Linked DNA regions of Macaca mulatta. The protein of the gene in region 3 binds, or shares a complex with, the protein of the main gene of each other region. Links are inferred from orthologs where the notes say so. Each region holds a gene or a part of one and is shown on either strand. Other genes may lie near its edges. The genes, in order: TBC1D4, RND3, SFN, ANPEP, CAMKK2, PADI6 and EIF2AK2.

Region 1 (4,497 bases), on a different chromosome or scaffold from region 3:
TTTCTTGAACTTTTATGAGAAAGTCTTATGGCTTCCACTGCTCCCACTGGACTAAAAGGTGGAAGTGATCTTAAACATATTAATGTTTATATAGTTCAGCCTCTAACGCTTAAATATATAATGGAGGAAAATAAAGGAATGTTTATAATTGACTTCCTACCAATGAGACCAGGAGGAACTCAACAGCAGCTATTGAGAATTCAAGGTGCCACGACCATCAATGAGATTAGCAACAATGTGTCAGGCATCAGATGTGGCTGGAGGGAAATAACTTTAACATAAACCCCTAAGAGTCATGAAAAGTTCCTTAAAGTCCTGAAAAAATGCAACTGGCTCCTCCTTACCGCCAGAACCAGAAAAATGTAATACAATAAAGATGTAATAGCTTTCAGAAACTTTCCAATTTTAACATATGTAAAAGCTAAAAAGTTTTGAACAAATGATCACAAAATGAAATTCATTAAATCGTGGTTAGGATCTTGAAATAATTTTAGTACAATATTTTGCCATAAACATAACAGTGATCACAAATTTAAACTGCTCTCTTCACATCAGGAGTTCTTTTTATTGGGCGACTTTAATGCCAGCTACTCGGGAGGCTGAGGCACGAGAATCGCTTGAACCTGGGAGGCAGAGGTTGCAATGAGCCGAGATCATGCCACTGCACTCCAGCCTGGGAGACAGAGCTAGACTCCGTCTCAAAAAAAAAAAAAAAAAAAAAAAAAAAAAAAAATATTTTACAAAGTGATGAAATCTAAGACAATTAACTCTTATTTTCTTCAATTCAACTATAAGCCTTTTGTGAAAACTATTCTAAGTCTTTCAATTACAGACAGAAGAATTGTGAAATAAAAAATTAAAGCCTTATTTATAGGATGTTTTTCTCATCTGACTACTATTAATTTCCCAGCTATCAAAAGAAAGCCACATGGTGCAACCTGAGACTTTATTTATATTTAGACAACAATATTTTTCCAAAGAACCTAAAGTACTGTGCAAACATTAAATAACCATTTTTAAAACAGCATTTTGGAAGCTTTTGAGATGGGGGGAAAAAAAACTCATTACAAATTAAAGGGGAAAAAGCTTGTTTTCAAAGGCACAATCACTGCATAGTCAAGTTTTCCTCTCCCTGTTCCATAAGGTCCACATCTGTTTTTAAGGAAGTAAAAGTTTACTGTTTGGTAATTCGAATTAGAAGACTAAAAAAAAAATTAAAAACAAAAGTGAAAAAAATCATTTAAAAATTGTATTAGAAACCTGTTCTACTAAACTGCCTCCAATAAGTGTGTTTAAAAACTGCAAAAAAGAGAAGGGCTTCTTTCCATTCAATATCCAAATGCAGAATTCTTCTTCGCAGACAATCTGACAATGTCTAGTAACTTTTCCCTAACCCCCGCTCCGAAATCGGAGACCTGCAGGTGCTGGGGCGAAGATGACGCGACCAGCCAAACCGGTTAAGGACCGTGATTGAGAACTAGTGAGAACCTCTAGGAACCCAACCTTCTGCGTTCATACACGCGCGCGCGCGCGCGCGCGCGCACACACACACACACACACACACACACACACACACACACACACACGGCAAGCAAGCCATCTCCGATCACACTCCAGACACCGCCGTCCTCCCGGGACGCGCGCTCCTCTACGCGTGCTCTTTGGACGCGCCAGGTCCTCCTCCATCCAGGGACCGCGGTCCTTCTCCCTCCGGGTCCCTGCTGCAACCGGCCGGCTCCAGCCGCTCGCCCAGTCCCCGAATGCCTTCTCTACCCCTCCCAAAGTCCAGGGAAGCGGACGAGACGGCGCTTGAGAGCGCCACGTGGAGCGCGCGCGCCTGCAGCCAAACCACAGTAGGTCCTTAAAGTCGCGTCCCCGCCCCCCTCCCGCCCTGCTCCCGGATCCCCCAGGGCCAAGCCCGCCCCCGCGCCTCCGAGCCCCAGTCTTGCCTGGTTGGGGTCTGTGGCGCGGAAAACGTGGCAGGCCATCTGCGACTCGGGGTCGTCGGGCTGCGCCTTGATCAGGTAGGCAAAGTAGGTGAGGTCGTGGCTGTTGTGGATGAAGCGCGAGATGTGCTGCGCCTTGTGCTCGAAGATGAACACGGCCGGATTGGGATGCGCTGCCGACGGACTGGTGCCCCCCGAGGCCCCGGCGCCCGGCGCGGGGACGCAACGCAGGAAGGGCGCGCTGAGCACCAGGATCACCTCGCGGGCCGCCGGCGCCCCGCAGCCGCCCGCCTCAGGCTTCTGGCTGCGCCTGCGGATCTCGGCCATGAGCCAGGGCAGCATGGGCAGCGTGGTCCTGCGGTCCAGGCACGACCCCCCCACGTACCACAGCCGGAACCGCTTGTCGCCCGGCTTCCCGGAGCCGGGCTGAGCTGAGACGCCCGGCTCGGGCTCCAGGGGGTGCGGGAACGGCTCACCCTGAATGCAGCTGGGCGGCTCCATAACTCTCACCTCACCAAGGCACCGCGGAGGCCGGCCGGGCGCACCGCGCCCCCCACTCCCGCGCAGAAGGCGCCGCCGAAACTGTGCCAACTGCCGCACCAGGCCCCCGCGCCCGCCTGGGAGCGGCGCGACCCCGAACTCCGCGCCTCAGCAGCCCTGCCCCATGCAGCACTTCCACGGGCGCGGCTCGGAGGCTCCGGCGGCGGGCACCGAGGCAAGCGCCCGGCAGCCGGAGGGATAGGCGAAGGTGGGTTAAATGGGCATCCTCCTTGGGCTGGCGCCTCGGGCAGGACCTCCCCTTCCTCCGTCGCGAGTATGCAGGGTCAGAGGACCACGCCGAGGGTCCCCGCGGCCGCCGACTCCAGCGCTGCAGCCCCGCTGCAGCCTCCGCGCTCGCCTCGGGCAGGCACTGGGTGGCTGGGCGGGGAATGGGGCTGTGGGCGGGAGGGGGTGACTTGGGGCGGAGCTGACTCCTACCAGGGTGACCGGCTGTCACCTGGAAGGTCGGGGCTGCCGGGCTGCGGCGCGGTCAGTCCTCGGGAAAGGCCTCCGACAACTACTCCAATGGAAAATAACAAAAACAAAATGTGGCCTCGCGGGGCCGCTCCGCCTCCCGCAGCAGCTGCAGCCCAGCTCGCTGCTCCTCCTCCTGGCGTTCCCGTCCCTCCCTCGCTCCTTCCTTCCTTCCAGGCTGCTTCTTTAATTGGGCTGCTAACCCGCCTCCCGTCCGGCGGGCGGAGAGCGGCGCCTGCAAAAGCTTATCTGCGAAACTGCCTCTCCGCCTCTTCCTTCGACCCCCGCCCTTGGGGCTGCAGCTTAGAACCTGGCGTGGGCACTGCCTGGACCCGCTTGGCCTCTCTTAGGTCGCTGCGATCGCCATCTCCTCCCGGGCGTCTCTGCTGCCCCCTAGAGAGGGGGCCACTCGCAATGGAGAACTGGGATTTTTTTTTTTTAACAGTATTTGCTTGGTTTCAGTTCCTTCTAAAACCTACACATTAATTTCTGAATTATCCTTCCTAATAATCTCAAAAAACGCTCGTGTTTTCAATCACAATATTATAAATTCCAGTTCCAATTTTCACTTTAAAACATAGTATTGACAACTTGAATCTTCCTAGTTCTTAAAGCAGCCAACTTCTTAAAATATGGAAAAATTATATTTTATTTATTTTATATTCCCAGTTGAGAGCTAATGTAGAGATTTCTTGTTCTTTTATGTATATATGATAATACATATTTCCAAAGAACTAAAAAAAAGTTTGGAATAATTTGATCATTGTAATTTTAAAACAGGTGGACAAATATTCTCTCTTTACTCATACTGAATGATAATTAAGAATTGGGTAAGAAGTAAAGACAAATAGGAAAGACACAGAAGTTCTTGACTTTCTCCTAAGTGCTTACAAGAAGAATGAAAACTCGGTTTTTAGTTTCTTGGTTTTTAGTTTCTTGGTTTTTAGTTTAATGAGTTCTCACTTTCTAGAAAGCCCTGGGACCACTTTTTCCCTTCTGTTTATTTAAGGTCAATATGACTAACTGTCATTATTCCTATGCTGAATTTCTGGTTGCACCCTGATGGCTCTCTTATTAATAGGTATCTAAATTCCAAGATGGAGACATTACTAATTGATTAGGTTAAGTCATTTGGTTTAACCACTTAAAAAACCTTTGTTCAAAAAGACCCATGTCTTCAAAGAAGCAATGAAAAGTTCTTGGAAGGTAGACTGAGACCTTCTAAAACCTTCCCAGAAACTCTCTTACACAGATCCCATTTCCTTAGGCTACACATCTGAGACATATAAAAGAAAGGAACAAAAATATAGAGAAAGCATGGAAGTCTTGTAGATTCTACAAAATCAACCAGCTTGGGAGCTAGGATTGAATTAATAGCTGCAGCAGGCCAGTTCCTACTGGCATAATAAAGTGAAGTAACAAAGAACACCCTTTCACTGATTGACAGAAAAACAGAATTGCCTTTTAATACATGACATGCGAAGTATGATTGCTTTCTGCTTGGAAATGCCCCTTATTCTTTCTATTGTTATGTTTT
Region 2 (4,010 bases), on a different chromosome or scaffold from region 3:
TTTAGTTATGGTATTAGAAACAGAAATGGAACTAGTATAGGAGGAATAGGGATGTGTCCAATGTGAATTGTCTGATGATCAGGTATCTGTCTAGTAATTATGATCAGTTATCTTTCTAGTAATGTAGAAGCAGGGCTTGTAAACATGTTATATATTATAACGTACACATAGTTTATGGAGGCAAAGGTTAGTCAGGTTCTGTAGGTGAAGAAGGAACCTAACTAAGGAAGCTATGGATGGAAGGAACCAGAGGGAGATCAAGAGGAAGAGGACCTATTACAGGATGGGTCACAGGAAGTAGGGAGGCCAGTGGGAGGAAGGGGCATTTCTTGACCTCCAGCAGCAGGGACTCAGCCTCCAGGTAGTTGTAGAAGGCACGTGCCGTGTAAGTCCATGGATCAGCATTTATTAGCCACTAGCTGTTTTCTCAGACCTGGCCTGTGTGCTGTGGGGCTTCAGGATCAGACCCTTGGTGGAGCACTCCCTCTCCTCCACGCCCTGGCTTAGACACCGGATGTGGCTGAGAGCAAGGCAGTGTCAGCTGAGGGGTGAGCCATGCAGCCCAGTCTGAGTATGGTATGGATTAAGAAAGACAAACATGCAGGTGTGCCTAGGTTGGTTTTGTTTTTTTGGTTTTAATTTTTAGTGGAATTTGTTTGTATTTTGTGTGTTTTTATTAGTTTACATTCCTCTATTATATTTGATTGCTTGGCTTGTGTGTCATTGTGAAATCAGGATTTGAAGTAAAATCACTCCTTCTGTCTCTACTAAATATTACAAACAGAGTTCAATAAAATATGGTTTTCTTAATAGATCAAAGGCTCTTTTTCCCTTTTTAGCTCCTTTCAATTTTGGGTAATACATATCTAACACAAATAATGCTAATGCTTGTCAAATCCAGGCAGGAATACACCTTTCCTGTCTTTAATGCTTGTAAACAATTGCTAGACATGCGGAGGGAGGCCAAAGTCATTACACAGCTGAAGAGCAACATAACAACATGTCTAGTTCTGTCTGGAGATAAAAGGGGTTGCTTATTTACTGGAGATTTTATTTGATGTAGTATCAGGCTATGCATAATTTATGATGAAAAAGCCTTTCTCCTGTTTTATTTTGCTTTTTTCTTCTAAGACCAAATGAATAGTGACTTTGGCCTTATAGATATTAATGAGTATGTTTTACATTCCTGTGAGGTTTAAGGCTCATGATAACCCCTGTGGTTTGTCTTGATTAATGGAAGCCTTTAAGTCCTTCACTATCAAAGAGGAGGTTAGAATGACTTGAAGTAGGAAGAATTTCTTTTTTTTTTTTCCAGTTCACCTTCCACTTCTAATGCTAGTGCCACCTAGCATATGGTAGGTGTTCCTACATAATTCTGAAAGGAGTGAGGGAGAGAGGGAAGAAGGGAGGGAAGGAGGGAGGGAGGCAGGGAGGAAGAAAGGAAGGAAGGAAGGAAAGAAGGAAGGAAAGAAGGAAGGAAGGAAGAAAAAAAGGAAGAAGTGAACACAATAGGCTCTTATGGAAAGTATATTACTCCTTTGAATCCACTGGTGTAGTTTGCACTAGAGTTCATTACCCAAAGTACACCCCTAGATTTGGAGATGTCTCCTCTAGTGATCTTTTAAGTTATTCTTGCAGGATGTCCCTCTTATCTTGTGTTATACTTAATACATGACTTCATCACCCCCAGTATTCTGTGAATTTCTTTCCAGAAGACACAGCTATGTCTTAATCATCATTGTCACGGCCACAGTACTTTGTAGAACACTTACATATTTGTGAATGTGGGTGGGAAGAGTCAGGCACCACTTCCCCATCTCAGCCTCTCCAGGCCCTGCCCTCAAAGGCCAAAGATCTCCTGTGACTGCCCTGAACCCTTGACTCCCATGCTGTTGCAGAGCTCAAGCTTGAGGAAATGAAGCCACAAAAAGCCACTTGCTTGTTCTTAAAGAGGACAGTTGGAATTCCAAGCCAGGCATTGCTGAGGGTTCTACTAATTCTTGTTAGATCATGAAACAAATAGACAAACTGGAATAGATTGAAATAGTTTTAAACTAATTCGAAGGCATATGAGCTACAGGACCAGCTGCCTTCCCGATCACCAGGAGATGTTCCTTTGCAAATGTCATGATCTGTGTTGATGGAACCATGTGAATAGAAACTCCTTCAAGGCAGGATGTTCTGTTTTATTAACTATCTCAGGTACTTAAATAGAGCCTCAGCTCGCGGTGGCATGCTTCAGTGTTTCATGATGGGATCAGGGAGTGCATACTTGTGCTACTGTTGCCTCTGCCTTATCCGCAGCCTTCTAGTTAAGGAGGATCAGATCCACACATCGAAGGATGTGGTCACTTGTTAGGATATATAATTATTCTTAAGACACATTTATCTTTCAGAGACATGCCAATAATTAAGACATTATTGAAGCTACCTTTGGACAACATCTACCAAATCTCTTTCAGTAGCAACAGATGAGTCACAGAGAGGGAGAATCGATCATAATATACATAATCATTCTCTAATGCTTAAAAAGTCGTAAAACTTCACATCTATTCAGGAGATAAATGCAAAGTTTGCTTCTTCATCTCAAGGGACACTCCTTTTTTAACATCTTTTTTTGAGTTTCATTCTAATGTCTGCCAGTGGAGAAATGGTTTTTATGATATGGATGCCATTACTTTGTTCATTTTTAATCTTTTTTTTTTTTTTTTTTCCTGTCACAGTGGAAAGGTGAAATCCAGGAATTTTGTCCAAATACCAAAATGCTCTTGGTCGGCTGCAAGTCTGATCTGCGGACAGATGTTAGTACATTAGTAGAACTCTCCAATCACAGGCAGACGCCAGTGTCCTATGACCAGGTATATATGTTGCCCATGTGCAAAAGTGGATTTTAGAAAGAGTGAAAGAAATGGACTGTCACTCACAATAAATAAAATAAAAAGTAGCTGCTTTTCTAAACGCTCAGCCAGTGGTCAGTTGTGAAATTTAAAATGCTGTCATTTATTAGTGTAATTACATGATATTTGGGTACATAAACAGTTGATATGCTAACCTTGTATATTTCTGCAACTCCAAGTAGGTTTAAAGTTCAGTAGGTTTAACAGAGAATGTGGTCAAAATCAGTAATACTCTTTAAGAGAGGTAATCTGATTTTACAGTCGGCAGTGCAATAATAAGGCTGTTTCCAGTAAACTGGAGCACTCCGTAACACCATCTTTCAGAGAGTCTTCATTTCTATAGGCATTTCCCCCAAGTATGTAGAAATGAGAATCAATTTCAAAAGCTCATTCTCGTAAAACCTACAACCAGAATCTAAAGAGAGTTCATGTTGAAATACCAAAATTGTATTAAGAATCATCATTTTAAATACTGCAGTCTTCTTAGTCTTCCATTTCTCATTAGCAAAAATTTGGTATTTTAAATAAGTAGTTTTGGTTGATGTGCACATGTTTATTGTTGCGTATATTGGTGGTATGGTTCACACTTAGAAATTACGTATTTTGTGTTTGATATAACAGATGTCACAATAGTATTATTCCTTTCCTCAACTTATTTTGGCCCTAAGTAAGACACAATCACGTACATTTCAAAATCAATTTTAAATTTCATTCATTACCCTCGTTTTCGGTACAACCTAGTCACTAGTCTTGAATGCCATTTACCCTCAAGAAAAGAGAAATGGAGTCCCCCAGGAGACGCTGGAACAGGTTCTCAAAGCCACATCGCCACAGCCAGAGCTGTGTGGAAAATGTGGAGTTTATGTTCATGACCTTCAGCTAACTTACTTCACCAGTAAGATTCTCTGGGCCATTTCATGCTTGCTGTGACTCTGGAAAGCCTGAGTAACCAGTTAACTCTTGCTTGCAGTTGATAGTGAAGATGAATCACCTCGTTAGCTCCACTCTACACTTCTTTGAATCACCTCATATTAAGTGTTTGATAATGAATGTCCTCATTTGTTAAGATCAGCCTTTAGCATTTATTCAGAGCTCTAACACCTCTAATGAGCC
Region 3 (3,055 bases):
TGGGGCAGATAAGCAGGAATCCATCCCTGTAGGCTCAATGCCAACACCCTTTGGTGAAACTCCTGATGAAACTTGAGGCCAGGGCCCCAGCAAGCAGGGAAAGAAGGTTGGCAACAGAGGTCTCCATCTGAGGACTCTGCCAGGGGTCAGAGGTGGGGTAATGGTCAAAAGGAAGGAAGTGGCTCATGCCCATAATCCCAGCAGTTTGGGAGGCTGAGGCAGGAGAATTGCTTGAGCCCAGGAGTTTGAGACCTGCCTGGGCAATGTAGTGAGATCCTGTCTCTATTTAAAAAAAAAAAAAAAAAAAAAAGGAAGGAACAGGGAAACTTCTGAGAGACAGGCTGGGGGAGGCATCACGTAGCTGGGATTGCTGCCCCATAAAACAGAATGGTATGTGTCACTGCCACCTCCCTTTCTCAGTCCTCTCTCTCCCCAGGTTGCTAGCGTCCCCCCTGGGGGATCAAACTGGACTGCTTCCCAGCCTCAGACAGAGAGCAGTCTGAGTCAGGCAGGAAAGTGGGACAGCCGGGGAGCTGGACCCCACCCTCTGTGAACCCCACTGGTACCTGATGGCATGTGGCTTGGAGAGGGCAAGTGACCTGGTGTGGAGGGCCAGAGGGTAAATCCTCAAACAAGTGGCAACAGGCCACCAACTTGAAAGGGAAAATTGTGTAGTGATGGGAAATGTGTACAACAAACCTACTGGGTGACTAATTACAAAGGCTGGGCTGGAGCGTCAGAGGCTGCTTGTTAAACACTTCATTAAGTGGCACTCTGAAAGCTGCCACCTGCGCATTCTGGGAGCTCAGAGGGGACCCTGAGGGGGAGTGAGGCCTGAGGGATGGAACCATCTTCAGGTAGATTGAGAAAGAGCCTGGATCTCACTTCCAAACACAGCCTGGAGCTCATAGGTCAGAGACTTCAACGGGAGAAAAGCTAAAGGAAGCAGGGTGCAGAAAGGAGTTTCAGGGAAGTGGTGGCTATGTGACTTTGAGCAAATCTCACCCCTCTCTGAGACTTAGTGTTCCCATCTCTGTGGTCCTGTGTGTGTCACAGAGACACAGTGGGGATTAAATTCGATGGTGAATATGAAAGTGCTTGGGAAACTCTATGGCCCTACCTAAACATGAGTTATCCTCACCTGAATCAAGGGGAGAAGTTACCTGGCAGGATTGGGAACCCCATCCTCCTGAACCTTTATGGGCTCTGTCGAGGCAGAAGCAGCCAGGGGCTAAAGCCGCCCTTAGCCTCTGTAAGGGCGCTGTGAAGGAGGATCTGATTTGAGAAGCCAGGCAGTTTCCTGATGTGAGCAGCCATATGATGCCAGCCCCGAACAAGAGGGGGCAGCCTAGAGCCTGGAAAGGTGCCTGTGCAGGTGGGGCCCACGCCCAGATTTCTTCTGCTGACTGTTCTGATGACTCACCCCCACATCCCAGCCTTTTTACCTTTACTGCAGAGCCGGAAAGGGTGTGGGGAGGAGAGGAGACGGAGGCAGGTCTTGGGCCCTGGTCCCGCCCCCTGCTCCTCCCCACCCTTCTCTGGGCCTGGCCACCCAGCCAAAAGGCAGGCCAAGAGCAGGAGAGGCACAGAGTCCGGCATTGGTCCCAGGCAGCAGTTAGCCCGCCGCCCGCCTGTGTGTCCCCAGAGCCATGGAGAGAGCCAGTCTGATCCAGAAGGCCAAGCTGGCAGAGCAGGCCGAACGTTATGAGGACATGGCAGCCTTCATGAAGGGCGCCGTGGAGAAAGGTGAGGAGCTCTCCTGCGAAGAGCGAAACCTGCTCTCAGTAGCCTACAAGAATGTGGTGGGCGGCCAGAGGGCTGCCTGGAGGGTCCTGTCCAGTATTGAGCAGAAAAGCAACGAGGAGGGCTCGGAGGAGAAGGGCCCCGAGGTGCGTGAGTACCGGGAGAAGGTGGAGACTGAGCTCCGGGGCGTGTGCGACACCGTGCTGGGCCTGCTGGACAGCCATCTCATCAAGGAGGCTGGGGACGCGGAGAGCAGGGTCTTCTACCTGAAGATGAAGGGCGACTACTACCGCTACTTGGCCGAGGTGGCCACTGGTGACGACAAGAAGCGCATCATCGACTCAGCCCGGTCAGCCTACCAGGAGGCCATGGACATCAGCAAGAAGGAGATGCCGCCCACCAATCCCATCCGCCTGGGCCTGGCCCTGAACTTTTCCGTCTTCCACTACGAGATCGCCAACAGCCCCGAGGAGGCCATCTCGCTGGCCAAGACCACTTTCGATGAGGCCATGGCTGATCTGCACACCCTCAGCGAGGACTCCTACAAAGACAGCACCCTCATCATGCAGCTGCTGCGAGACAACCTGACGCTGTGGACGGCCGACAACGCCGGGGAAGAGGGGGGCGAGGCTCCCCAGGAGCCCCAGAGCTGAGTGTTGCCCACCACCGCCCCACCCTGCCCTGCCCCCTTCAGTCCCCCACCCTGCCGAGAGGACTAATATGGGGTGGGAGGCCCCACCCTTCTCCCCCAGGCGCTGTTCTTACTCCAAACGGCTCCGTGGAGAGGGACTGGCAGAGCTGAGGCCACCTGGGGCTGGGGATCCCACTCTTCTTGCAGCTGTTGAGCGCACCTAACCACTGGTCATGACCCCAGCACTGCTCTCCGCACCGCTTCCTCCCGACCCCAGGACCAGGCTACTTCTCCCCTCCCTCTTGCCTCACTCCTGCCCCTGCTGCCTCTGGTCGTAGGAATTGAGGAATGTCCCGCCTTGTGGCTGAGAACTGGACAGTGGCAGGGGCTGGAGATGGGTGTGTGTGTGTGCGCGCGCGCGCGCCAGTGCAAGACCGACATTGAAGGAAAGCATGTCTGCTGGGTGTGACCATGTTTCCTCTCAATAAAGTTCCCCTGTGACACTCCTCCTGTCTCTCTCCAGTTCTTGGCGATGGGTTGGGAGTGGAACTGGAATCTGATTTAGAGATCCTGACTTTCGACCTCTGAGTTAGGGCCCTGACCTCCCTGCGTGGCTCAGTGACCTGCACGCAAGACTTTGAGTCCAGGTGAGGCCGGGGTCCGGCTGTCTCCATCAGGGCG
Region 4 (4,010 bases), on a different chromosome or scaffold from region 3:
GTCCTCCTGCTGTCTGCCATCTCTGATGGATGTGATAGGCACAATCCACAGGTAACTGCAATTAAAGACCCAGAGGTAATGAGAGACGGCAGTGTGGTCACTGCCAGTGAGAAGCAGCTGTCCAGGCTCCCAGCTTCTGCCCAACTCTGGCTCCGAGTGCCCCTGATCTCCTGGCTCTGGAGGGAGGGTTTGTCTACAGTGGCTGGGGCTAGGACCACAGGAGGCCAGTCCTACTATGGTCCCTTAGTAACCGTCCTCTACCCCACCCACCTGACCATGCCTCAGTGACCTCATCTGCTCACTTGAATTCTGAGGGGCGGGTAACATTGGAATCGGGGTCAAGGAGGAAGTGCTCCTGGGAAAGAGTCCCCGTGCTGGTATCCACCGTGATGACCGGGAAGCCCATCTGCAGGGTCCAGCGATCCATGATGTTGTGCACGGTGGTGGGGAGTTGGACGGACCGGTTGTTCACAGCCTGTGGGTGGAGCGAGAGGGCATGGCCATCAGTGGGCTGCCACCCTCCAGTCCCTGCCATCCAGGGCATCCTCTGCAGATTCTCGCCTCGACCCCAGGGGGCCACTTGTATGGGAGGCCTGGGAAGGGCACTGGGCCGGGAGCCGGAAGCTAGGGTCCCATTCAGCTCTGCCTCTCCTCGGCTGCTCGGTGCTGGACGAGCTGGAGAACTTCCCAGCAAATCTATGTGGCCCCCCATTCTGTGGTCCACCCTGAGGTGGGTATGTCAGGGAGGGGATGCCCAGGATGCCCATGGCTCTTCCTGAACAACACTGGGAGGATGACAAGAAAGAGAAGAGATGAGGGAAAGCCAGTGTTCGGGTGTCACAGGCAGGGGCGGGGGAGGGGGTCCTGGGGGTCGCATGAGGGAGGTGCACTTGTACTGGGGTGTGGGGCGGGGCTTAGGCACTGTTGCTGTCTGCTTGGATCTTCGATCATGTACCTGCATTGCCTTTGTTATCACAACAGAAAGCCAACATCATTTGTTAATAACTGAAGAAAGGAATCACCTAAGAACAGGGCCACACAGAGGGCAGAAGAGCATGTGGGGAGGAACCAGCTGGGGACCGCGGGCCGAGGGGCTCAGGAAAGAAGAGTGAGAGAGAAGGAGGGAAGGGAGGAGAGGTTGGCTTCAGAGGGAATGCAGAGGGGAAGTTGGGGCAGATCAAGGAAGGTAGTGGGGGAGACCCAGGCAATGACAGTGTCATGTCAGCAGCATCTCGGGGTCGGGGGATTGGAAATTGCCCAGCAGGGACCTGGACCCCAGCTGTGACTCTGTGATGACAAGATCCTGGGTCTCGCTTCCCCAGTGAGACTGGCCTGGACTGGAAGTGCAGCAGCAACAGTGGGGGAGAAGCTGGACGGGAATTTGGGGCCCGGAACTCTGGAGGGGCTGTCGGTGAGGAGAGGACATGTCTGTCCTCTGGCTGAAGAGGCTGGCATTGGGCAGGGCTGCAGGGAAGGGGTGGGGGGCAGCTGTCAGGGAGCGGAAATGATGGGGGCAGGATGGAGAGCAGGTGGACTCCAACCCCGGGGGAGGCGGAGGAGCGGTGGCCTCTGGGGGAAGGCAGGAGGGTGCAGGCAGTCTGAGGGTTTGCCCCACACACAGGGGCTGTGCGGGGTCTGATGGAGAGGAACTCCAGGCGGGGCAGGGGCAGAGGGCAGAGTTCCTGCTGAGTGTGGAGCTGTGTGCAGAGACGTGCCTGGAAGGTGCCAGCGGGAGCACAGGGGAGCCAGGAGTGGGAGAAGATTGAATGCCCAGCTCCAGAGTTCCAGGCAGAGGCGGGTTTGGACTCGGGAACCGTGAGGGCCGTTTCCTCACCACCAGGAAGGGGCTCTACAGCTCCCAACAAGGAGCCCACTGTAGCCTGAGGTCAGATGCCGGCCAGGGCCTGGACCACGGCCTCACTCAGACACCTCCTGCAAGGAGCCATCCTGGTGCCCACTATAGGGAGGAGCAATGGAGGCTCCATCCACCCTGCAGGGCTGGTCAGCTGGACCCATTCTCTTGTACACGTGTTGCCCCCAGGCACCTTCAGCATCTCAAGACCCCAACAGGATGGCTGTGGAGGGGCTGGCTGCTACTGACCTCCTGCAGGTGGTCCCACAGGTTCAGGTAGATGGTGTTCTGGTAGGCAAAGGTGTGGAGGTAGGACTGTGGAAAGACGGGGCACAGTGAGGGCACAGCTGGAGCCCCCCAGGTTCCCCCTCTGTGGTGAGCTGAAGCCCAGGTCAAGGGCCAGGGGCAGGAGACCCACCCTCATGGCTGACCCAGGGTGCGGTACTCACTGCCAGGCCCTGTTTGAATACATCCTCAGACAGGAAGCTGGAGAGCATCCTGAGGACTGAGGCGCCCTGGGGAGGGGGGGAGGGGGTGCTCAGAAGGCTGTGCTGAGCCACCAGGACCCTGTGCCCCCAGACCCCAGCTTCAGCGAGGCCCCTCCAGGCCAAGTCCCCACCTCCCTCCCTGTGTCTCACGAGGTGTGGGCTGCACCTTGCTGTAGGAGATGGAGTCAAACAGCTCACTGATCTGGGCCGGCGTGTTGATCTCCGAGGCAGGAGTGGACAGTGGGTGGGAGGAGGCCAGTGCATCCACGGCCATCACGCGGTACACTTCGTTCAGCACCATGAGGTCTTTCTGCAAATTCCCCAGGGCCATCAGGACACTGGCCTGGTAGCGGTGGCCCAGGTCTCCCTCCACACCCCCCGACTGGACCCCAGGGCAGCTGCTCACCAAGTTCCAGGTGGGCTCTGCATAGTCAGCACCCAGGTACTCCACGTAGGAGGCAAAGCCCTCGTTCAGCCACAGGTCATTCCACCACTCCATGGTCACCAGGTTCCCGAACCACTGTGGGGGGAGGGGTCAGCTGGGCAAGCCACGCCCAGGCCAGGCACTGAGAGTCCCCAGAACTACCCTCCCCAGGGCTGGCCACCTGCCAGGCACAGTGGGGATTTCACCAACCCCATCGTGACCCCTTCCTGCTGCCCTGTCAGGCGGCACCCTCCTCCCTTCTCAGCAGCCTGGGGCGGAGCCTGGACCTGCACCATCTCCTCCTGGAGCCCCCGTTTCCTTCTCTGCACTCCCCGAGATGGGGGTCTACCTGGTGGGCCAGCTCGTGAGCAATCACAGTGACCACCCGCTCCTTGTTGCTGCTGGAGGAGGACAGCGGGTCGAACAGCAGGGAGTTCTCCCGGTAGGTCACCAGTCCCCAGTTCTCCATGGCGCCGGCGTTGAAGTCAGGCAGGCCAATCTGGTCTGGGGAGGCGAGGCCATTGGCAGGATGGCCTCCGGGAGTGGAATTCCAACCACTGCCTCCCTCCTCGAGGACCCCCACTCACCTGATTTTGGGAGTGGGTAGGGTGTGTCATAATGACTGGCAAAGAAGTTAAGGATGGGGCCTGTCACGTTCAGAGCATAATCGCCGTGACCCGCCGCAATGGCACTGGGCCGGGCCCAGATCCGGATCTGCAAGGTGTGAGGAAGAAGCAGGCCAGGGGCCCCTGTTTGATCCTGGGGCAGGTGGGCTGGGTCCCAGGGCCCAGTGGGCCAGGGGGATCCCCGACGGGCCAGGGCTGGGGGTCAATCAAGCTAAACCTAGAGACCTGGTCAGCAGAAGGAACACTAGGGGGGCCTGGAAGCTGTGGGTCCTAGAGAAGGGCCTTTGGAGAATACCAATTATCATAGCCACCGTCTGTCTGGTACTGGCGGGTCAGAACTCCCTTCATGAGGAGAAACCATTGTTTTCACTTTTCAGGTGCAGAAATAGAGAACCAAAGAACAAGACACTTGCCCGAAATCACTCAGAGCTGGGATTCAAACCCTGGCCTAACGATTCAGAAATTGGTACAGGGATGAAGAGAACAGGAAGACCCCTCAAGCCAGGGCCAGCCCAGGTGAAGGAGAGATGGGCCCAGCCTCATACCAAGACATCATTGGATGCCTGCGTCTCCACGTAGGTGAACTCGCTGACAATGAAGGCCAGCAAGTACGTGGACAT
Region 5 (4,010 bases), on a different chromosome or scaffold from region 3:
CCGGGCACAGTGGCTCACGCCTGTAATCCCACTACTTTGGGAGGCCGAGGCAGGCAGATCACCTGAGGTCAGGAGTTCTAGACCAGCCTGGCCAACATGGTGAAACCCTGTCTCTACTAAAAAAATACAAAAATTAGCTGGGCATGGTGGCACACATCTATAATCCCAGCTACTCAGGAAGCTGAGGCAGGAGAATCGCTTGAGCCTAGGAGGCAGACGTTGCAGTGAGCCGAGACCACACCACCATACTCCAACACTCCAGCCTGGGCGACAGAGCGAGACCCTGTCTCAAAAAAAAAAAAAGAAAGAAAATAGAAAAGAAACCAAGAGCAGACTTGCTCACAGACAGGAGGCAGCCCCAGTTTGGCAGACCCTAAAATGGAGATTGAGAGGAGGAAGGCCGAGGAAAGGCCAACCCGCTGGGTTTCCACTCCATCATCCGTGAGGCTCACACCCAAGGCTGAGCTGCCCAGGCATCTGTGTGGGCACAAGCTGGGGACTGCGTCTGCCTTCTGAGGCTGCTGAAGACCGGTTCTGAAGGACTGCCGTCTTCCGTGCTCTATGCTGGAGGGCAAGGTTTCTCTCAAAAGCATAAATAATTCCCAAACAGGTGTTCCTCCTAGATTACCATATAAGCCCTGACTCCCACAGGATGGGTGGCCAATCCATTTTTCTTTTTTTTTTTTTTTTTGAGACAGATTTTTTGCTCTTGTTGCCCAGGCTGGAGTGCAATGGCGCAATCTCAGCTCACCGCACTCTCCACCTCCCAGGTTCAAGTGATTCTCCTGCCTCACTTCCTGAGTAGCTGGGACTACAAGCGTGTGCCACCACGCCTGGCTAATTTTTGTATTTTTAGTAGAGACAGGGTTTCACCATATTGGCCAGGCTGGTCTCGAACTCCTGACCTCGTGATCCACCTGCCTTGGCCTCCCAAAGTGCTCGGATTGCCCAGCCTGGTGGTCAATCCATTTCATCTTGTAAGCCAGCTCCTAACACTTGTACAGGAATGTTCATAGCATCAGTCTTCATTCGATAGCCAAAAGGTGGAGACAAGTTCATCCACAGAGAAATGGATGAACAAACTGAGGTGTGTCCATACAATGGAATATTATTTGGCCACAAAAAGGAATGAAGTACTAATACACGTAGAGCATGGATGAACCTTGAAAACATGATGCTGAGTGAAAGAAGCCAGACACAGAAGGCCACGTAGTGTATGATGCCATTTATACGAAATGTCCAGAATCGGCAAATCCATAGAAAACTAAAAGACGAGTGGTTACTGGGGTGGGGGAGTTGGATGGGGACAGCTAAGGAGTGTAGGGTGCCTTCTTGGGCTGATGAAAATGTCGTACAGTTGATGGTGGTGATGGCTGCAAAACTCTATTAGAAACCACAGAATCAAACACTTCCCACGGGTGAATTGCATGGTATGTGAATTGAACCTCAATAAAGCTATTTTTAAGAAACAGAAGTGACTGCCTGGAGCTCCCACCAAGTCAGGTGGCCACGACGGGTCACTGGGAAGGGCAGTGGGGTCCCCACCCACCACAGCACCTGCAGCAGGGGTGCCCAGCAGGTTCTCCCGGTCTCATAGGGACACAAGGCTTCATCTGTCCTGGGAGGTTCTGGTCACCTGGGCTGGGTATGCGTATGAAGGAAGGGTGGCTCACAGCAAGGTCTGCATCCACTCGGGGGAGGGAACTCTTACATTACTTTGCAACAGGTGGGAAGGGGACTTATTTTCTAAGTCTAAACACATCAGAGAAAGAGAAGTGGAGGCTGGGGAGCCCCTAGCAAAGAGCCACACAGTGCAACATGCCTGATCTATGCACTGACCATGCGGACTCGGCGGGGGGCACCCACGGGCCCCGTGACAGAGCTTCAACGCCATTGACGTGCACTGAGAAGACGTGGGTGCCACATGGAATCTTCAGACCTGGGTGCATTCTCAGGCATTCCAGCTGGAGCGCCATGCACCCGCAGCCCCAGCCCACATGCATGACCCACCATCGGGTCCAAGCCCCCGAGGCCCCTCGTTCTAATACTGGGTCTGGAGGCCCGTGGTGAGCCCGGCCACAGCAGCTCAGGCTGGAAGGAGCGTCTGCCTGGGTGGGGATGCCCCCGTGCTCTGCAGCTGCCCACCCACCCCCCCTCAGGCCCCAGCAGAGGCTACGGCACAGGCAGGCAGGTGTTACCTTGAGCTCAGACAGGGACTCACATTCCCTGGTTGGTTTTTTGCTGGAATCACCAGAGGGAGGGAAAAGGGAAGTGAGAAGGGACGCTTGGGATCCACGAGATGCCCATTCCCCCACCCAGAGACACTCAGACCCCAAACACTAGCTTCATAGAGCTGGAGCCAGGGTGGCATTGACATCAGGTGAGTGGACACCCCTCTGCATGGACACACAGAGTCCTGAATGAGGCCACACTGCTCGCCCAGCACAGAGCCTCAAACCTCCCCATCAGGCACTCACACTCCTGGGCCACAAAAGTGCTTTTCCTCTGACTGCCAAGAGCCCCCCAGCTACAGTGCAAGTCCCCGAGAAATGTAAACTTCAGGTGGATTAGCTGTCAGCAAAAGGAGGTGAGCTGAGCCCAGGCTGGGGTGCTGACTGTCCCAGTGCACCAGGTGGGTCTCATCTGAGTCTCTCCAGATGGTGCCACTTCAGGGAGGACCTGTGCAGAGTGCTCTGGGCAGGGCTGCCCCAAGCTCAGCCTCCAGCCCCCACTCCCCCACCCAAGAAGGCAGGCGGCCACTCACGTGAGCAGGTTTCCAGGCGCTGACAGGGAACGCTCCTCCCGCCGGCTGCCCTCGAATGGGTTCCCAAAGGAGCGTTTACGTATCATGGTCTTCACCAGGATCTGAAGAGGGAGAAAAGAGGAGGTGGCAGGTGACTGCTTGGCCAGGTGGGGGCGATTCCGGGCAACATCCTCCCTCTTCCTTCTCCCCAGCCCCTGCCAGCGCCCAGGGCTGGTGGCTGATGGCAGGCCTTTGAGAGAAACTGGACAGCCCCCCGCCGCTGCAACCAACCCCCACCAAAAGAATCCTCTGGAAAAAGGTGCTGTCCTGCACCACACCTTCAGCCACTGCTCAGCATCTCTCCCAGGCCTCCCTGCTTTCCACCTCCCTCCCATCCCTTCCAAAACCCAGATCTGGTCCCCTCACTACCTGACTCAGAATCCCCACCCAGAGGGGTCTGGAACTTGGCCTGTGGTCAGCCAGAGAGCCCCGGAAAGTTCTGGAGCAAGGACATGAACCAGTCACTCTTGGTGATGCTCTTGGCTGCCATTTCCCATGAAGGGAATGGCCTGCAGACCCCCTAAGAGTCACTGGGCCCCTCACCCCACCCCAACCAGGGCACGGTGCCCCTTCAAGCTGTTTCGGGAATTCATGGAGCTTCTGACTTTTTAAGCATTTGCTGCTAACAAGAAGAGTAAGTGTTTAAGAAACACTAATTTACCAAAAGGTGCAAACACCCAAATGCCCATCAACTGAAGAACAGATAAACTCAAAGCGGTCTGTCCGTGCAATGGAACATGATTCAGCCATAAGAAGGAGTGAAGCACTAATCCTTGTACAACACGAACGGACCGTGAAAACCTGCTACGTCAAAGTAGCCAGGCCCAAAAGGCCTCAGAGTGTAGGATTCCACCAGAATACACAAATCTACAGACACAGAGGGCAGGTGAGTGGGTGCCAGGGCTGCGGGGAGGGGAATGGAGAGTCACTGCTGATGGGCGGGGGTGTGAAGTAATGAAAATATTCAGAACTATTGAGGGGATAATTGCATGCCACTGTGAATGTCACAAATGCCACTGAATTGTTCACTTTAATTTTATGTTATGTGAATTCTACCTCAATTTAAAAGAAGGAGCGGGGGGCCGGGGGCAGTGGCTCACACCTGTAATACCAGCACTTTGGAAGGCTGAGGCGGGTGGATCACCTGAGGTCAGGAGTTTGAGACCAGCCTGGCCAGCATGGAGAAACCCCGTCTCCACTAAAAATA
Region 6 (3,746 bases), about 9.5 Mb from region 3:
GGGAGGGTCCGTCCAGGCAACACTGGCTGCCGCCTCACTGTGCTAGACTGCAGAGATGGGGGAGGGACAGCAGATAACGGTGCCTATGAGGAAATGGGCAGGAGACCCCTTCTCCCCCATCTCAGTTAGGGACGCCCTCCCAGAGAGCAGGTATACTGGGCCTGAAGGCTTGGAGGGTTCCCCAGGCAGTTACTATGGGCCAGGAGCTTCAGGAGCCTCAGTGAGCTGTACCCCTAGTCTAAAAGGATGAACCTGTGAGGCCCACTTCAGATGGGGTGCTATGTAACTCAGAGTTGAGGTTGCTGTGCATCTGCCAGCAGTGAGGTCTTGGGCAAGCTACCTCAGGGTAGGTCTTTCCACTATCCCCAGGGTCCAGGGCAGCCGTGTCCGATACATGGAGGTACATCAGCACTTAAAATAACATTCTAGGCTGGGCGCGGTGGCTCACGCCTGTAGTCCCAACACTTTGGGAAGCTGAGGCAGGTGGATCACCTGAGGTTGGGAGTTCGAGAGCAGCCTAACCAACATGGAGAAACCCTGTCTCTACTTAAAAATACAAAATTAGCTGGGCGTGGTAGCACATGCCTGTAATCCCAGCTACTTGGGAGGCTGAGATGGGAGAATTGCTTGAACCTGGGAGGTGGAAGTTGCAGTGAACCTAAATCACACCATTGCACTCCAGCCTGGGCAACAAGAGCGAAAGTCTCTCAAAAATAATGTTCTGTTCAGCTTGGCTGGTTGTGGTGGCTCACCTGTAGTTCCAGCACACTGGGATGCTGAGGTGGGAAGATCACTTGAACTCAGGAGATGGAGACCAGCTAGGACAACATAGTAAGACCCTACATCTTTAAAAAAAAAAAAAAAAAATTAGCTGGGGCCAGGATGCAGTGACTCATGCCTGTAACCTCAGCACTTTGGGAGGCTGAGGAGGGCAGATCACTTTTGAAGTCTGGAGTTTAAGAAAAGCCTGACAGACATGGTTGAAACCCCATCTCTAGTAAATACAAACACTAGCTGGGTGTGGTGGTGCATGCCTATAATCCCAGCTAATCAGAGGCTGAGGCAGGAGGATCCCTTGAATCCAGGAGGCAGAGGTTGCAGTGAGCCAAGATTGTACCACTGGACTCCAGCCTGGGCAACAGAGCAAGACTGTCTCCACCGCCTCCCCCCGCCCCAACCCAAAAAAAAAAAAAAAAAAGCTGCGTGTGGTGGCCCATGCCTGTAGTCTCAGCCACTCAGGAGGCTGAGGCAGAACAATTTCTTGAGCCCAGGAGGTAGAGGCTGCAATGAGCCACTGCATTCCAACCTGGGCAACAAACCAAGACCTTGTCTGATAAACCAAACCAAAAAAAAATTCTGCGGCCGGGTGTGGTGGCTCACACCTGTAATCCCAGCACTTTGGGAGGCCCAGGTGGGAGGATCACCTGAGGTCAGGAGTTCGAGACCACCCTGACTAACATGGAGAAACTCCACCTCTACTAAAAATACAAAATTAGCCAGCTGTGGTGGCGCATGCCTGTAATCCCAGCTACTCAGAAGACTGAGGCAGGAGAATCACTAGAACCTTCCAGCGGAGGTTGCAGTGAGCCGAGATCATGCCACTGCACTCCAGCCTAGGCAACAAGAGCAAAACTGTTTATTTTTGTCTTTAAAAATTCTGTTCCTACTTATTCTAAACCAGAAGTCATAATCAAGAGTGGGGCTGTGAGCACATAGAGGTCCTGGTTTCACCAAGCCTATGCCAACTGTGGCTCACATCTGAACTTTCTCATGTAACAACTGACCCATTATATAGGTATTTAAAATGAACGGAGGCATTTGAGGTGCCCCAATTCTCTAAACACTTGCTGACCTCTTCCCTGGGTCCTAGGGACACAGGCCCTGATGCCATGGGTGTCTTCTAACTTGATCAGCTCAGTGTGGTCCGGTAGGGGTGAGTAGTGGCAAGAAGCTGCTTTGAGAAGGAGTTGAGATATGAAAGATGTGCAGCAGTCAGCTGACAAGAGGGGGTGGGGAGAGCGTTCCAGTGGAGGCAGCAGCAGCCGTGTGTTGCATCCAGACCATAAGAGGCCAGAATAATCAAAACATAGAAACTGGAGAAGTTGACAATCCCAGACCTTGGCCAGGCAGGATGTTGTCTTGCTGTTGAGAAACAGCCATTGGAGGGCTAAGCAGAAGCGAGCTGGGTTTCACTGACCTGGAGGAGGCGGCTGCCCGCCTGCTACGCCTGGTCTGGCCTGACCACAGAGAGGCAGGTGGGGCGCGGGCTTTCAGGCCTCTGATCCCTACCCGGGCCTTACCCTTTCTTTCTGACAGCTGCGGATGATTGTGATGGGCAAGAACCTGGGGATCCCCAAGCCTTTTGGGCCCCAAATCAAAGGGACCTGCTGCCTGGAAGAAAAGATTTGCCGCTTGCTGGAGCCCCTGGGTTTCAAGTGCGCCTTCATCAATGACTTTGACTGTTACCTGACGGAGGTCGGAGACATCTGTGCCTGTGCTAACGTCCGCCGGGTGCCCTTTGCCTTCAAATGGTGGAAGATGGTACCTTAGACCCGGGCCCTGGAGCTGCCAGCTCTGCCCCAGCATGGATGGCCCACTGTCACCATGCAGCAGATTCCTTGCCCAGCAGAGGCTGGACAGTCCAGGTGACACAACCCTTTCTTCCCTGTCCACCCCGACCCTCGGACCCAGTAGGGTAGCAAATGCTGCCAGCTTGAACCCCTGTGGGGAAAAGATGGAAAAGTGTTCAGCCAAATGGCATTTACTAAATAGCCAATAAAGTGCTGGTGGGCATGAATGCATCTTGGCAGTGACCTCCTCGTTTGGGGAGGGGATGTGTGCCAGCTGAGGACAAGGCTGAGCTGAGATGCCTATGGCCATGCTGGCTGCCTTGTGTGGGGGGAAGAGACTTGGCTACATGAGTTGCTGTCCTTCCCCTCATCTCTAAATTATGTCTATGGCAGGAAGTGGTTGGACTTATTCAAATGGACTTAGATTATCCAAATGCTGCTCTGGTTTAAGCAACTGGGACAGACTGGGTCTAGAGTCCAGGGCCCAGGCTGAAGGAAGGTTGAGGGCCTCCCCTTGGGCCTGGTAGGACCTGGAGGGGGCAGGCCCGGGGTGGGGTTGGTGCCATGCCCGGTGGGCACCAAGTAGAAGCTGTGGTCTCCTTGGGTCTGTAGGTATGGCCTCAGAAGACACAGCAGTAGCGGACCTGGGTGACCCTCAGCCTGAAGTGCCCCTCCCAAGGCCCAAAGCTGTATATTCCCATCTGACCATTCCTGTGTTAATGGCACAGGGATGCTGTTAAGCTTTAACAGGCGCTGTGGCTCCTGCCCTGCTCCTCCTGGGTGATGGCTCCTCTAGGACACTAACCCTCAGGGTAGGCCCTGAGAAGGGAGCCTTGTGTCCATGTCCCACAGGGAGTTGAAGGCAGAGCTGGGCCTCGAACTAGCCCTGGTCCCAGCACCCGGGGCTGTGGGCAGCAGGCAGGACCTGGCCAGCCTCTGCCAGCTGCTGGGGCAGTGGAGGAGGGTCATCCTAAGGAAGCAAGGCAGCCAAGAGGCAGAAGCCAAGGTTGGGGCAGCAGGGCTGTTCACTGGATCAGACGTGGGTCTTTATCCAGGAGCTGTGACCTGGTGTGCCAGCTACCCCAGAACATCTTACGACATCTCATTAGCCTGCCCATGGTGGTGCAGTCTGTGGACTATACTAGACACGTCTTGTCGTATTCATGGCTCTGACCC
Region 7 (4,010 bases), on a different chromosome or scaffold from region 3:
TTACAGTCTTTCTCACACATTCTCCTCATCCCTCCTGACTGCCACAGTAATCGTGGCTGAGGGCACCTCATGTACAGAACTCTCTTCTCTCCATCCAAGCATCCACATCAAGAATCATCTTTCTTTAATACATCTATCTACTATTCAGAATATACTGGTGGCTCATAATGGCTCCTACTGCCATCTTACTCTCATTTCTGACTATATTTACATCGTTGCCTTTCTCTTCAGTTAATTGACATAGCATCTGACCTTTTTATAATCCAAGTTTTTATGCTATTTTAATCTTACTTGTCTGCAAAATAATACACTTCTCTTGAAAACACTTCTACAGTGAAAACAGCCCAATTCCTTGCCAGCCTCGTACAAAATAATGCTCTTAACCTAATTACTCGAGTGGTACCCCCATAGGGCTTTATGTCTACAGTGCAGCATGTGCATATATTCAAATATCTCTCGACACATCTAAAATTATTTTATAGATTTCAAGCTTTCTGCTTCTGAAACTCTGCTCAAATAAGGGTGTACAATACTCTACAAGTATTTAAAACAATACATAAGTCTGAAATAAAACTTCAGATCAAAATATGTTCAATGCATAATGATACTCACCTTTTTGCCTTCCTTTGGTTATTTCTGAGACCATTCTATAACAAAAGAAAATGAGAAATAGTTTCAGATGACTAAATCAATCATCTTCCTTTCTCTTGTTATCTTTCCTCTTGTATTTCCAGATGGCTCGCTGACCAATTTCTTATTCCATCAATGTCTGTATTCTCATCAAGCCCTGTATAAACACTTAGTATTGTAAGACTTAACTTTTTGCCAATCTAATGAGTTTAAAATAGTATCTAATTGTTTTGATTTACATTTTCCTGATACCTAGTAAAGCAGCTTTTAATATTTGTTGCCCATTTGGGTATCTCTTCTCTGAACTATCTGTTTATATACTTTGTACATTTTTCTACTGAGTTGCTTGCCATTTTCTTATCGATTTTGTAGTTCTTTATAACAGAATACTCTTGTAACACTAATCGTCAAAAGCATAGATTTTGCTCTAAGTTCAACATTGCCTGCTTATGTGCACCAAAAAGTTATCTGTTTTTTGTTTGTTTTTGTTTGTTTGCTTGTTTGTTTTTGAGATGGGGTCTCACTATGTTGCCTAGGCTGATCTCGAACTCCTGGGCTACAGCGATACTCCCACCTTGGCCTCCCAAGTGCTGCAGACTATATGCGTGTGCCACTGCACCAGGCTAAAAAGTTATCTGATTTCAGTTTACTTTTAATGTTAAATTTAATTCTAATTTTTTAAAACAGAAATAAACTATATTAGAGAATCTTTAAATATTATCCCATTGGTAGGAGAGAAAAGCAAAATCATAGGAATATATTAAAATATAGGGGTGAGTGAGGAAAGACAGAAGTGACGTGTAGAAGGGTGAGGAATGGAACTTAATTTTAAAAAGAATCAAAACGCTGCTGAGCCGGGCACGGTGGCTCACACCTGTAATCCCAGCCTTGGGGAGGCTGAGGCAGGCAGAACACGAGGTCAGGAGCTCGAGACCAGCCTGACCAACATGTTGAAACCCCGTCTCTACAAAAATTAGCCGGGTGTGGTGCATGCGCATGTAATCCCAGCTACTCAGGGGGCTGAGGCAGGAGAATCGCTTGAACTGGAAGGCGGAGGTGGCAATGGGCCAAGATCTCGCCACTGCACTCCAGCCTGAGTGACAGAGGGAGACTCAACCTCAAAAAAAAAAAAAAAAGGCTGCTGAATATTATCATTTAGTAAGAGTGCATAAGAAAAAATATAAAAATTATGGTGGAATACTAGAAGTTATTTTTAAATGAGGAAACGCACAGAAAAATAAGATTAAGTAGGAAGCTTCGAGACTAATATGATACCGTAAACAATGAAGAAATGTGTAAACTGCCACTTTTAGAATTTATCTCTGATGTATCTGCTGAGACGTCACTTTCAGCTGATGATTCAGAAGCACTAGAAGAAAAGGGTGTAACTATTAGTTTATTAATTCTGTTTTTATCACTTCTTTCTCTAAATTCTCCTTAAACATAAACATTTCTCTTTCAGACAGAAATATGAATATGTTAAATATCTCAACTGTTTGTCTACACTTACAGTGAGTTGTTCACTAAAGGGTTGCTTTGGGAGTCACACGTAGCAGCAAAAGAACCAGAGGACATGGAGTCAGGTTTCTGAAAGAAAGAGAGTCCCTTAGTAGGCTTAAATGCAACTAATTATTTCTCTACAGAGGCTCAGTTTCTGTGTACTATCACATTTATTTCAACACATTTACCAAATCCACAACCATAAACAATTACAAGATCAATAACGTTTTTTATGGATGTTTGGTCTGGATTTGATTTGATTTGATTTTTTATTTCATTTTTCTGGATCACAGGACAGATAATTTTTTTGTTTGTTTCTTTTGAGACAGGATCTGGCTCTGCTGTCCAGGTTGAAGTGCAGTGGCACGATCTTAGCTCACTGCAACCTCCACCTCCCAGGCTCAGGCAATCCTCCCACCTCAGCCTCCCAAGTAGCTAGAACTACAGGTACATGCCACACACGCATCTAATTTTTTTTTTTTTTTTTTGTAGAGTCATGGTTTTGCCATGTCGCCCAAGCCAAGCTGGTCTGAAACTCCTGCGCTCAGGAGATCCACCTGCGCTGGCCTCCCACAGTGCTGGGATTACAGGTGTGAGCCACCACACCCAGCCACGGCCCCATGGCACATGGCTCATTGGTGCGACACAGAATGGAGGAATCATTTTGCTAAATCACTGGCTGTCTTGGCATAATGTAACCACAGTCTAACCTGAAGTCAACTTCAGAGGGAATTTTAAAACATAAAAATTTAATCCAAAGGCAATACGTACCACTGAGGTTTCTTCTGATATCTCAAGCAATGCAAGTTTAGCGGCCAACTGTTTTGCTTCCTGTTTACTAGAACCTGTACCAATACCATATTCTTTGTCTCCAATTTTGCATTTATAATGAAATCTAGGAGAAATCATAGAGGGTACTTATCCAAACATGAAAAATATAGTAAATCCAACTTACGATTAAAAAAAAAAAACATTAACAGAGATCTTAAGATAATACCAATTTATTAGATAGATTTATAGTTCATATCTTGCATAATTTAAACCCTCAGTAACCTGCCTGACCAATTTCTCTGAATAACCAGGATCAGTTGACATCTGAGCTTGCATTTTCCAGGCAATTTCTAATTTTTGGTTGCTTTGCTGAAAGATATGGCACAAAGGCACTAAGTGGTGATTTTTTTTGTTTTTTAATTCCCCAAAGGTCAAAAGATATGGAGGTAGAAAAGAAAGAGGTCCAGTGAATTTTTTCAGCAGTGCTCAAATGGGAAGGAAAAAGCCAGCAGAGAAAGTGGATTTGACAGGAGAAGCTATGAAGTTACAGCGTAGGGCAAGAGCAAAGCATGGATTCTGCTCTAACTTCAACATTGTCTGCCATCTGCTTATGTGCACAAAAATTTGAGAAAATCCCCACAGTGTAGATTCCCTATACTAAAGTCCACACTCTCCTATTAGACGTAAGGACATTTGTGGTTAGGCCAGGATACCTGGACAATTATATAAGAACTATTTTTAAGGGATAAAACAATGGACATGGTAATTTATATCACAGAGTTACTACATATTACTGCAAAATGATTCCAGTATTTGAACTCCTTTTCCTTTGTGCTTCTATTGAAGGCCATTGATAGAAACACATCCAAACAGGGTGAGTCTTCCCTGCGAGACCCTGAATTAAATAGCTGGGTTGAGTAACTGGATCATTTCTATAGCTCCTATTTTTTTCAGACACTGTCCCCCCGCAAATAGATTTCTTCTTTCTTTTAGGTATCTAACGTTAGAGAGCATAATTCAAAGAAATCAAAAAAGTGAGCTACAGAAAATAAAATAGTCTCTTAATTATCAAGATTGACTCAACAGATTCACTTTTGACTATTTCATTC

The links.
Region 1: the proteins of SFN (region 3) and TBC1D4 are in contact, whole or in part, in a crystal structure (PDB 7NIX), measured with the Homo sapiens proteins. The link is inferred for Macaca mulatta from reciprocal best matches to the Homo sapiens genes SFN and TBC1D4. Residues at the interface, in NP_006133.1 of Homo sapiens: Asn42, Ser45, Val46, Lys49, Arg56, Arg60, Phe119, Lys122, Arg129, Tyr130, Glu133, Gly171, Leu174, Asn175, Val178, Tyr181, Glu182, Leu218, Ile219, Leu222, Asp225, Asn226, Leu229, Trp230; in NP_055647.2 of Homo sapiens: Arg637, Arg638, Arg639, Ala640, His641, Thr642, Phe643, Ser644, His645, Pro647.
Region 2: the proteins of SFN (region 3) and RND3 are in contact, whole or in part, in a crystal structure (PDB 7OBC), measured with the Homo sapiens proteins. The link is inferred for Macaca mulatta from reciprocal best matches to the Homo sapiens genes SFN and RND3. Residues at the interface, in NP_006133.1 of Homo sapiens: Lys49, Arg56, Arg60, Lys122, Asp126, Arg129, Tyr130, Glu133, Gly171, Leu174, Asn175, Val178, Glu182, Ile219, Leu222, Asp225, Asn226, Leu229, Trp230; in NP_001241667.1 of Homo sapiens: Asp236, Lys237, Ala238, Lys239, Ser240, Cys241.
Region 4: the proteins of SFN (region 3) and ANPEP are in contact, whole or in part, in a crystal structure (PDB 7AEW), measured with the Homo sapiens proteins. The link is inferred for Macaca mulatta from reciprocal best matches to the Homo sapiens genes SFN and ANPEP. Residues at the interface, in NP_006133.1 of Homo sapiens: Asn42, Ser45, Val46, Lys49, Arg56, Lys122, Arg129, Tyr130, Gly171, Leu174, Asn175, Val178, Glu182, Leu222, Asn226, Leu229, Trp230; in NP_001141.2 of Homo sapiens: Ala60, Ser61, Ala62, Thr63, Thr64, Leu65, Asp66.
Region 5: the proteins of SFN (region 3) and CAMKK2 are in contact, whole or in part, in a crystal structure (PDB 6Y8A), measured with the Homo sapiens proteins. The link is inferred for Macaca mulatta from reciprocal best matches to the Homo sapiens genes SFN and CAMKK2. Residues at the interface, in NP_006133.1 of Homo sapiens: Val46, Lys49, Arg56, Arg60, Lys122, Arg129, Tyr130, Glu133, Gly171, Leu174, Asn175, Val178, Tyr181, Glu182, Leu218, Leu222, Asp225, Asn226, Trp230; in NP_001257414.1 of Homo sapiens: Arg508, Ser509, Leu510, Ser511, Ala512, Pro513, Gly514.
Region 6: the proteins of SFN (region 3) and PADI6 are in contact, whole or in part, in a crystal structure (PDB 4DAT), measured with the Homo sapiens proteins. The link is inferred for Macaca mulatta from reciprocal best matches to the Homo sapiens genes SFN and PADI6. Residues at the interface, in NP_006133.1 of Homo sapiens: Lys49, Arg56, Arg60, Lys122, Arg129, Tyr130, Gly171, Leu174, Asn175, Val178, Tyr181, Glu182, Leu222, Asp225, Asn226, Leu229, Trp230; in NP_997304.3 of Homo sapiens: Phe443, Tyr444, Pro445, Ser446, Ala447, Glu448.
Region 7: the proteins of SFN (region 3) and EIF2AK2 are in contact, whole or in part, in a crystal structure (PDB 7OBK), measured with the Homo sapiens proteins. The link is inferred for Macaca mulatta from reciprocal best matches to the Homo sapiens genes SFN and EIF2AK2. Residues at the interface, in NP_006133.1 of Homo sapiens: Lys49, Arg56, Lys122, Asp126, Arg129, Tyr130, Glu133, Gly171, Leu174, Asn175, Val178, Glu182, Leu222, Asp225, Asn226, Leu229, Trp230; in NP_001129123.1 of Homo sapiens: Asn546, Glu547, Arg548, His549, Thr550, Cys551.

What each region holds. Positions count from the first base shown.
Region 1 is NC_133422.1:70,244,413-70,248,909, forward strand, and holds the start of TBC1D4 (TBC1 domain family member 4), read right to left. Parts: upstream 2,859-4,497; 5' UTR 2,448-2,858; coding exon 1,950-2,447; intron 1-1,949.
Region 2 is NC_133417.1:55,446,230-55,450,239, reverse strand, and holds part of RND3 (rho-related GTP-binding protein RhoE), read left to right. Parts: intron 1-2,723; coding exon 2,724-2,858; intron 2,859-4,010. UniProt on the Homo sapiens protein: Binds GTP but lacks intrinsic GTPase activity and is resistant to Rho-specific GTPase-activating proteins.
Region 3 is NC_133406.1:214,122,157-214,125,211, reverse strand, and holds SFN (14-3-3 protein sigma), read left to right. Parts: upstream 1-1,584; 5' UTR 1,585-1,649; coding exon 1,650-2,396; 3' UTR 2,397-2,421; downstream 2,422-3,055. UniProt on the Homo sapiens protein: Adapter protein implicated in the regulation of a large spectrum of both general and specialized signaling pathways. Binds to a large number of partners, usually by recognition of a phosphoserine or phosphothreonine motif.
Region 4 is NC_133412.1:79,616,088-79,620,097, forward strand, and holds part of ANPEP (aminopeptidase N), read right to left. Parts: coding exon 3,936-4,010; intron 3,479-3,935; coding exon 3,352-3,478; intron 3,269-3,351; coding exon 3,114-3,268; intron 2,861-3,113; coding exon 2,747-2,860; intron 2,651-2,746; coding exon 2,507-2,650; intron 2,368-2,506; coding exon 2,302-2,367; intron 2,168-2,301; coding exon 2,102-2,167; intron 476-2,101; coding exon 303-475; intron 56-302; coding exon 1-55. UniProt on the Homo sapiens protein: Broad specificity aminopeptidase which plays a role in the final digestion of peptides generated from hydrolysis of proteins by gastric and pancreatic proteases.
Region 5 is NC_133416.1:128,613,006-128,617,015, forward strand, and holds part of CAMKK2 (calcium/calmodulin-dependent protein kinase kinase 2), read right to left. Parts: intron 2,866-4,010; coding exon 2,765-2,865; intron 2,242-2,764; coding exon 2,199-2,241; intron 1,753-2,198; coding exon of another isoform or gene 1,747-1,752; exon of another isoform or gene 1,642-1,746; coding exon of another isoform or gene 1,633-1,641; exon of another isoform or gene 1,211-1,632; intron 1-1,210. UniProt on the Homo sapiens protein: Calcium/calmodulin-dependent protein kinase belonging to a proposed calcium-triggered signaling cascade involved in a number of cellular processes. Isoform 1, isoform 2 and isoform 3 phosphorylate CAMK1 and CAMK4. Isoform 3 phosphorylates CAMK1D.
Region 6 is NC_133406.1:223,606,129-223,609,874, reverse strand, and holds the end of PADI6 (inactive protein-arginine deiminase type-6), read left to right. Parts: intron 1-2,316; coding exon 2,317-2,550; 3' UTR 2,551-2,794; downstream 2,795-3,746. UniProt on the Homo sapiens protein: Structural constituent of cytoplasmic lattices, which plays a key role in early embryonic development. Cytoplasmic lattices consist in fibrous structures found in the cytoplasm of oocytes and preimplantation embryos.
Region 7 is NC_133418.1:87,801,437-87,805,446, reverse strand, and holds part of EIF2AK2 (interferon-induced, double-stranded RNA-activated protein kinase), read right to left. Parts: intron 3,026-4,010; coding exon 2,902-3,025; intron 2,218-2,901; coding exon 2,141-2,217; intron 2,000-2,140; coding exon 1,906-1,999; intron 648-1,905; coding exon 613-647; intron 1-612.